Linked DNA regions of Callithrix jacchus. The protein of the gene in region 1 interacts with the protein of each later gene in a pairwise test. Links are inferred from orthologs where the notes say so. Each region holds a gene or a part of one and is shown in the gene's direction. Other genes may lie near its edges.

What was found.
Region 2: the proteins of ADRB2 (region 1) and KCTD13 interact in a protein complementation assay, tested with the Homo sapiens proteins (2 studies listed by BioGRID and IntAct, with this or other methods). The link is inferred for Callithrix jacchus from reciprocal best matches to the Homo sapiens genes ADRB2 and KCTD13.

Annotation. Positions count from the first base shown.
Region 1 is NC_133503.1:47,515,591-47,519,688, forward strand, and holds the start of ADRB2 (beta-2 adrenergic receptor), read left to right. Parts: upstream 1-1,298; 5' UTR 1,299-1,521; coding exon 1,522-2,701; intron 2,702-4,098. UniProt on the Homo sapiens protein: Beta-adrenergic receptors mediate the catecholamine-induced activation of adenylate cyclase through the action of G proteins. The beta-2-adrenergic receptor binds epinephrine with an approximately 30-fold greater affinity than it does norepinephrine.
Region 2 is NC_133513.1:29,593,132-29,597,081, forward strand, and holds the start of KCTD13 (BTB/POZ domain-containing adapter for CUL3-mediated RhoA degradation protein 1), read left to right. Parts: upstream 1-1,150; 5' UTR 1,151-1,344; coding exon 1,345-1,588; intron 1,589-3,633; coding exon 3,634-3,803; intron 3,804-3,950. UniProt on the Homo sapiens protein: Substrate-specific adapter of a BCR (BTB-CUL3-RBX1) E3 ubiquitin-protein ligase complex required for synaptic transmission.

The DNA of each region.
Region 1 (4,098 bases):
TTTTGTGAACAAAGATCTTAGTTTTGAGATTTGGTCTTACTTTATTTTTTTAAGGGAGAATTATCTTTTGCTTTCTATAGTTTCAAAAAGTTCTTAATCTTAAGACATTCTTAATACTCTGAATCATATGAATTTGCCGTTTTGGTAAGTCACAGACACCAAATGGTGGCAATTTCATATGGCTCAACCTGAAAGATTAACAAACTATCCAGAGGATGAAAGGATTTTTTTTAGTTGCATTGGGATTACTGAAGAAATTGTTTGAATTCTCAGTGCATCTCCTGTCCAACAGATGAGTGAGTGATGCCACACTCTTATTAAGAGTTAAAAACAAAACGAAACTAAAACGAAAGCACAGAACTTTCTCTCTCCATCCCAAAATACATACATCCTTACCCCCTCTCCGAATGAAATCCAAAGGGTAAAACTGTCTTGATGCCTGCAAATTCCCAAAGAGGGCACCGAAAGTACTTGACAGTGAGTGTGCTGAGGAAATCGGCAGCTGCTGAAGTCACCTCCTGCGGTCTTGCCAAATGTCTGAAAGGGAATATACTGGGTTACTGGGTGTATGTTGGGAGAGGGGCATTATCAGCGCTCAGGTGGGGGAAGTTTGTGAGTACCCAGATAGAGACATCCGCCTCTGTGTCGCTCTGCATGCCTCTAAGCCGGCTTGTGTTTACTTTTTGTGTGTGTCACGATGCCTTTGTGCTTCTGGTGCTTCTGTGTTTGTTTCTGGCCGCGTTTCTGTGTTGGACAGGGGTGACTTTGTGCCTGACGGCTTCTGTGTGAGCGCGCTCGCGAGTGTGCCTGCGGGTGCCCTGGGAGGGTGTGTCTCCGTGTCTATGGCTGTGGTTCCGTATAAGTCTGAGCATGTCTGCCGGGGTGTATTTGTGCCTGTATGTGCGTGCCTCGGTGGGCACTCTCGTTTCCCTCCGTATGTGGGGCAGTGCCGGTGTGCTGCCCTTTGCCCTGAGACCTCAGACTGCACAGGCTCCCAGGGCAGGCAGGTAGCGGCCACAGAAGAGCCAAAAAAGCTCCCGGGTTGGCTGGTAAGCACGCCAGCTCCAGCTTTAGCCCTCTGGGGCCAGCCCGGGTAGCCGGGAAGGAGTGGTGGCCCGCCCGCCAAAGAGCAGCTGGGCCCCGCCCGGGCCAGCCCCGGGAGAGGGAGGGTGAGGGGAGGGGAGGAAAGCGGAGGGGTGCCTCGCCCCTACGGGGCTGCCGGCGTGCCATTGGCCGAAAGTTCCCGCACGTCACAGCGAGGGCAGTTCTCCTAAAGTCCTGTGCACATAACGGGCAGTACGCACTCCGAGGCGGCTTCTCCAGAGGGCGGGCTGGAACTGGCTGGCATCGTGAGCCCCTAGCACCCGACAAGCTAAGTGTGCAGGACGTGCCCCCACCACACCCACCTCACGGCCGCTGAATGAGGCTTCCAGGCGTCCGTTCGCGGCCCTCAGAGCCCCGCCGGGGATCCGCCCGCTGAGGCGCCGGCAGCCAGTGCGCTCACCTGCCAGACTGCGCGCCATGGGGCAACCCGGGAACAGCAGCGCCTTCTTGTTGGCGCCCAATGGAAGCCACGCGCCGGACCACGACGTCACGCAGGAACGGGACGAGGCGTGGGTGGTGGGTATGGGCATCGTCATGTCGCTCATCGTCCTGGCCATTGTGTTTGGCAATGTGCTGGTCATCACAGCCATTGCCAAGTTCGAGCGTCTGCAGACTGTCACCAACTACTTTATCACTTCACTGGCCTGTGCTGACCTGGTCATGGGCCTGGCAGTGGTGCCTTTTGGGGCCAGCCATATTCTCATGAAAATGTGGACTTTTGGCAACTTCTGGTGTGAGTTTTGGACTTCCATTGATGTGCTTTGCGTCACGGCCAGCATTGAGACCCTGTGCGTGATCGCGGTGGATCGCTACTTTGCCATTACTTCACCCTTCAAGTACCAGAGCCTGCTGACCAAGAATAAGGCCCGGGTGATCATTCTGATGGTGTGGATCGTGTCAGGCCTTACCTCCTTCTTGCCCATTCAGATGCACTGGTACCGGGCCACCCACCAGGAAGCCATTAACTGCTATGCCAAGGAGACCTGCTGTGACTTCTTCACGAACCAAGCCTATGCCATTGCCTCCTCCATCGTGTCCTTCTACGTGCCCCTGGTGGTCATGGTCTTCGTCTACTCCAGAGTCTTTCAGGTGGCCAAAAGGCAGCTCCAAAAGATTGACAAATCTGAGGGCCGCTTCCATGCCCAGAACCTTAGCCAGGTGGAGCAGGACGGGCGGACGGGACATGGACTTCGCAGGTCTTCCAAGTTCTGCTTGAAGGAGCACAAAGCCCTCAAGACGTTAGGTATCATCATGGGCACTTTCACCCTCTGCTGGCTGCCCTTCTTTATCGTCAACATTGTGCATGTGATCCGGGATAACCTCATCCCTAAGGAAGTTTACATCCTCCTAAATTGGGTGGGCTATGTCAACTCTGCTTTCAACCCCCTTATCTACTGTCGGAGCCCAGATTTCAGGATTGCCTTCCAGGAACTTCTGTGCCTGCACAGGTCTTCTTTGAAGGCCTATGGGAATGGCTACTCCAGCAACAGCAACGGCAACACAGGGGAGCAGAGTGGATATCACCTGGAACAGGAGAAAGAAAATAAACTGCTGTGTGAAGACCTTCCAGGCACGGAAGACTTTGTGGGCCATCAAGGTACTGTGCCTAGCGATAACATTGATTCACAAGGGAGGAACTGTAGTACAAATGACTCACTGCTGTAAAGCAGTTTTTCTACTTTATAAGAACGCCCCCACCAACAGAACACTAAACAGACTATTTAACTTGAGTGTAATAAACTTAGAATAAAATTGTATAGAGATATGCAGGAGGAGGGGCACCCTTCTGCCTTTTTTATTTTTTTAAGCTGTAAAAAGAGAGAAAACTTATTTGATTATTTGTTATTTGTACAGTTCAGTTCCTCTTTGCATGGAACTTATAAGTTTATGTCTGAAGGGCTTTAGTCCTAGAGGACCTGGGTCTGCTATGTTTTGATGATTTTTCCATGTATCTACCTCACTATTTAAGTATTAGGGGTAATATATTGCTGCTGGTAATTTGTATCCGAAGGAGATTTTCCTTCCTACACCCTTGAACTTGAGGATTTTGAGTATCTTGGACCTTTTAGCTGTGAACATGGACTCTTCCCCGCTCCTCTTATTTGCTTACACGGGGTATTTTAGGCAGGGATTCGAGGGGCAGTTTCAGTTGTTTTCCTGAGCAAAGTCTAAAGTTTACAGTAAATAAATTGTTTGACCATGCCTTCGCTGCACCTGTTTCTCCAAAACCCCTTGACTGGAGTGCCGTTTCCTCCCCCACTGGAAACCACAGGTAACTACTTGTAATAACTGCCCATGACTTAATGTGGAATGATACGGAATGACATGCACAGATTGCTTAACCCTTTCATTTGCTTTTGAATCTGTTGCTGCAAAGCTGCGTCTCTCCTGACACTTGTGCTCCGAATCAGTTCTGCCTGCTCTTAGTATAGCTCAGCTCTCCCTATGGTTATTGTTCTGTGTTGTTACCTCAGCAACACTGACTCATAGAAACGGCGTTATAGGCATATGTTTTCTTCCCTTCACGCACCCCCACTGCCCACCTTCCAGTTCTACTTGTTTCATAACTGCTTGTATTTATGTCTTGGCCATGTCTTATAGTGGAGCTCTTTGTACTGCATCAGGGCTTGGAATTTTAGGTACAAGGAAGATGTTCCTATGAAAAAGCTACTCAAACATGGCCCTGCAATCCCACGGAATAATTAAAAGGCATTGGACATGGGGAGAAAAGCTGGAGAACATGTAACTGATGGATACCTCATGACCTCAAAACAGAATTTTAACCCCTTTTTCTTCCTTCCTTTGGTCCTTGTTTTCTTCTCCCATTGACTCTCCTCGCTTCAGTCTAAACCAAGGTTCTGAGCCCTGGCACTATTAGCATTTTGGACCGGATAACTCTTTGATGTTTAGCACCTCTGGTCTCTATTCATTGGATACCAATAGCACCCCCAGGTTATAACAAGCAAAAATGTCTCCAGACGTTGCAAAAGAGCC
Region 2 (3,950 bases), on another chromosome or scaffold:
ACTTCTCAGTGCACTTTCTTGTCAACAGTGGGTTCCTATCTTTTCTTCTTTCTTTTGGGGTTGGGTGCTAGGTCCCATGACATTAGCTGGGATTCTAAGACCTTTGTTCAGCTGCTGTGGCCACCTCTGACACACCCTCTGCTCTCAAATACTAGAGCGTGTTCCTGCCTGCCTGAAGATTTTTTTTTTTTTTAAAGATGGAGTCTCACTCTGTTGCCAGGCTGGAGTGAAGTGGCACTATCTTGGCTCACTGCAAACTCCACCTCCCGGGTTCAAGCAATTCTCCGGCCTCGGCCTCTGAGTAGCTGGGATTACAGGTGTGTACCACCACGCCTGGCTAATTTTTGTATTTTTTAGTAGAAACGGGATTTCATCATATTGGACAGCCTGGTCTCGAACTCCTGACTTCGTGATTCACCTGTCTCAGCCTCCCAAAGTGCTGGGATTACAACTATGAGCCACCGCACCCTGAGGATCTTTGGATTTGCCTTCTCTCTGCCTGGAACTCTTCCCTCACATCTCCACATGGCCGCTTCCCAGCTTCAACTCGGCATCACCTCCTCTGGGAGGCCTTCCATCCTTGGTGCCCGGGCAACACTGCTACCCCTTTGGCCTTTTTTTTTTTTTTTAGGACACTATGTTGCCCACTTGCAGTCGTCCGATCACAGTTTACTGCAGCCTCCAACTCCTGGCCTCAAGCAATCCTCCTGCCTCGGCCTCCCGAGTAGCTGGGCTTAGATGCTGGGGTTTTGGGGTGTCAGCCACTGCGCCCAGCCGCTTTGGCCTCCTTTAAGAGCTTCCCTCCGTGCTTTGTTCGCAGTTCTCGTCACCGTCTGTTCAGTGCGCAGGGCTGGGAGGCGGGAAACTGCCCAACGCCCAGATCTCTCGGTCTGTTTCCCCTTAAGTTCGTGAAGCTCTCTGAGAGCAGAGACCCAATCACGAGGCGGAGACTTGGCTTTCCACATTGGGCAGGGGTCGGCAGCATCCTCGATCTGGTCTTGCATACTACAGACCAGACGGGAGGGCACATCGACCCACCTCGGGACCCTCAGGCCTCAACCCACTGTTGCTCCGGCTCCCCCTGCAAGCCCGCTGCGCATGCTTCGCACTTGCAGGCCCTCCCCCCTCTCTGGGGCGGAGCCGCGCCTGCGCAGCTGCCCGGCGCCGGCTTCCGGGTGGTGCGAGCGCGATGGGGCGGCGGGCAGGTGTCGCCTAGTAGCAGCGGCGAGTGGGCGTGTATGCCGAGCGGTCTGGCCCGAGGGCTGGGGGCGGCCGAGGGTCTTCGGGAGGAGGCCAAAGGGCGCGGAGAGAGCCTGGGATCGCCGTCCGCCGCTGCCACCCGGTATGTCGGCGGAGGCCTCGGGCCCGGCGGCGGCCGCGGCCCCGTCCCTAGAAACCCCTAAGCTCTCGGGTCTAGAGCCTGGCTCCGCCGCCTACGGTCTCAAGCCGCTGACCCCGAACAGCAAGTACGTGAAACTGAACGTGGGCGGCTCGCTGCACTACACCACGCTGCGCACCCTCACGGGACAGGACACCATGCTCAAGGCCATGTTCAGCGGCCGTGTGGAGGTGCTGACCGACGCCGGAGGTACGAGCGGCTTCCCCACCGTGCCTCCATCCCCAGACCCCCAACTCGCGTTCCCCACAGTCTCTCACCACCGGGGCTCTTCATGCCCCTTCTCTCTGCTCACTACTGTCCGGTCAACTCATTCTCAGCTCCCTCCAGCGCCCACATCTCATCTCCTCCCCTTTCTCATTCATAATTTCCCTTCTTCCCCAGTCCTTTACCCCCAGCAATAACCAACATTTACGGAACCCCTAATTCTGCCAGGCGCTGTGGTAAGTGATTGAACGTGTCACTTCATAATCCTCATGACAGCTCTCCCACCCTTCACCCCTCAGCTAAAGACTTGGGTACTAGCCCTGCTGCCTGCAATTCTACTCCTGGCAGCCTTCTCAGTTTCTTCCAACTGCCCAGCCTTTTGCTTCCCTCTCTGCCTCAGAACTGCTCAGCCAGCCTAGAGAAGTGGGAGATCTTGTCTGCCTCTGTGTTCCCCGACACAGGTCCCTGTACACTCCAGGAATCCACCTGTAGACACACATTACAAAAGGAGGATGCTTTAGGTTTGCTAGGAACACCAGAGTGGAGGGGTGGACAGGTGTCATTGGCAGGTGAACCTTACCTTCTTGGAGTGTCGCATTCAAGTTTGGAGCCTACATGCCCAAAGTTTTGGAGTTTGGAACTGGGAGATTCTTAAGGGAGGAGTTAACAAGGACTATGAGAATAGGAGGATAAAAATTTGGGAGGCGGACATCTGCCTTCAAGTATCAAAGGTGAAGAATTTGACTGGGCTCGGTGGCTCACACCTGTAATCCCAGCACTTTGGGAGGCCAATGTGGGTGGATCACCTGAGGTCAGGAGTTTGAGACCAGCCTGACCAATATGGTGAAACCCGTCTCTACTAAAAATACAAAAATTAGCCGGATGTGGTGGCAGGCACCTGTAGTCCAAGCTACTGAGGAATCTGAGACAGGAGAATCGCTTGAATCTGGGAGGCAGAGATTGTGGGTGAGCCGAGATTTTGCCACTGCACTCCAGCCTGGGCAACTTAGTGTAATTCCATCAAAAAAAAAAAGTGACGAATTCATTTGTCCAATTAGTGTTTGTAAAATATCAGTTAGTGCTGGAGATACATAGGTAAATGAACGTGACAAAATTATGGCAAGTCCCCTTTTTTAAGGAGGTGGGAGATGAGATCAATAAGCAGGTAAAAATGCATAATATGCAGGTAGTAAGTTCTTTCTTTTTTTCTGATAAGTTCTATGAAGAATATAAAAGTTAAAATGGTAGTGAATTGGAGGGAGGTCGACATTTTAAATAGGATGGTCAGAATTAACATGGGGGTTAGAGGTTTATTGATAAGGTAATTCTGCAAGACCGTTCGTGTTAAGAGCTTCTGACTGTAGATCAGATATGGAAGAATTAATTCTCCGGCTGGATGTGTAACTTATGGGAGAACTCACTAGAGATATTTTAAAGAGATTTTTTGGCTGTGGCACAGATTAGTATTCAGTCTTTTTTGTGACTTTGGAATCCTTTTTTTTTTTTTGAGTCAGTGTTCCCTAATGTTGCCCAGGCTGGAGTGCAACGGCGCCATCTCGGCTCACTGCAACCTCCGCCTCCCAGGCTCAAGCTATTCTCCTGCCTCAGTCTCCCAGATAGTTGGGATTACAGGCATACGCTACCATGCCTGGCTAATTTTGTATTTTTAGTAGAGATGAGGTTTTTCCCTCTTGGTCAGGCTGGTCTCGAACTCCTGACCTCACAGCTTAAAAAAATGTGAGGTGATACACCCTCCTCAGCCTCCCAAAGTGCTGGGATTACAGGCGTCAGTTACCACGCCTAGCTGGAATCCGTTTTTTCTTATAATTTAGGCCAGGTGTGGTGACTCACACGTATAATACAAGTACTTTGGGAGGCTGAGATGGGAGGATCACTTGAGCCTAAGAGTTCGAGACCAGCCTGGGCAACATAATGAGACTCCATCTCTACAAAAAAATTTTTCTTTAATTTAATAGCTCCAGGTCCCCCAGCAAAGCCGTCTTTCCTTCTGCCTTTCCCCACCCTACTAGGTTGGGTGCTGATTGACCGGAGTGGCCGTCACTTTGGTACGATCCTCAACTACCTGCGGGACGGGTCTGTGCCACTGCCAGAGAGTACCAGAGAACTGGGAGAGCTGCTGGGCGAAGCACGCTACTACCTGGTTCAGGGCCTGATTGACGACTGCCAGCTGGCACTGCAGGTGAGGGCCTTCCGAGTCCCGGTGCCTATGTTCCTGAGAGAGCTGCCCAAGCAGGTATTAGGACAGAAGAAAGGAGATATGGGGTATGGCCTAGAGAGCCTGCCTCTGATTGGCCATAACCCCAGAGAATTTGGGATGCTATCTTCT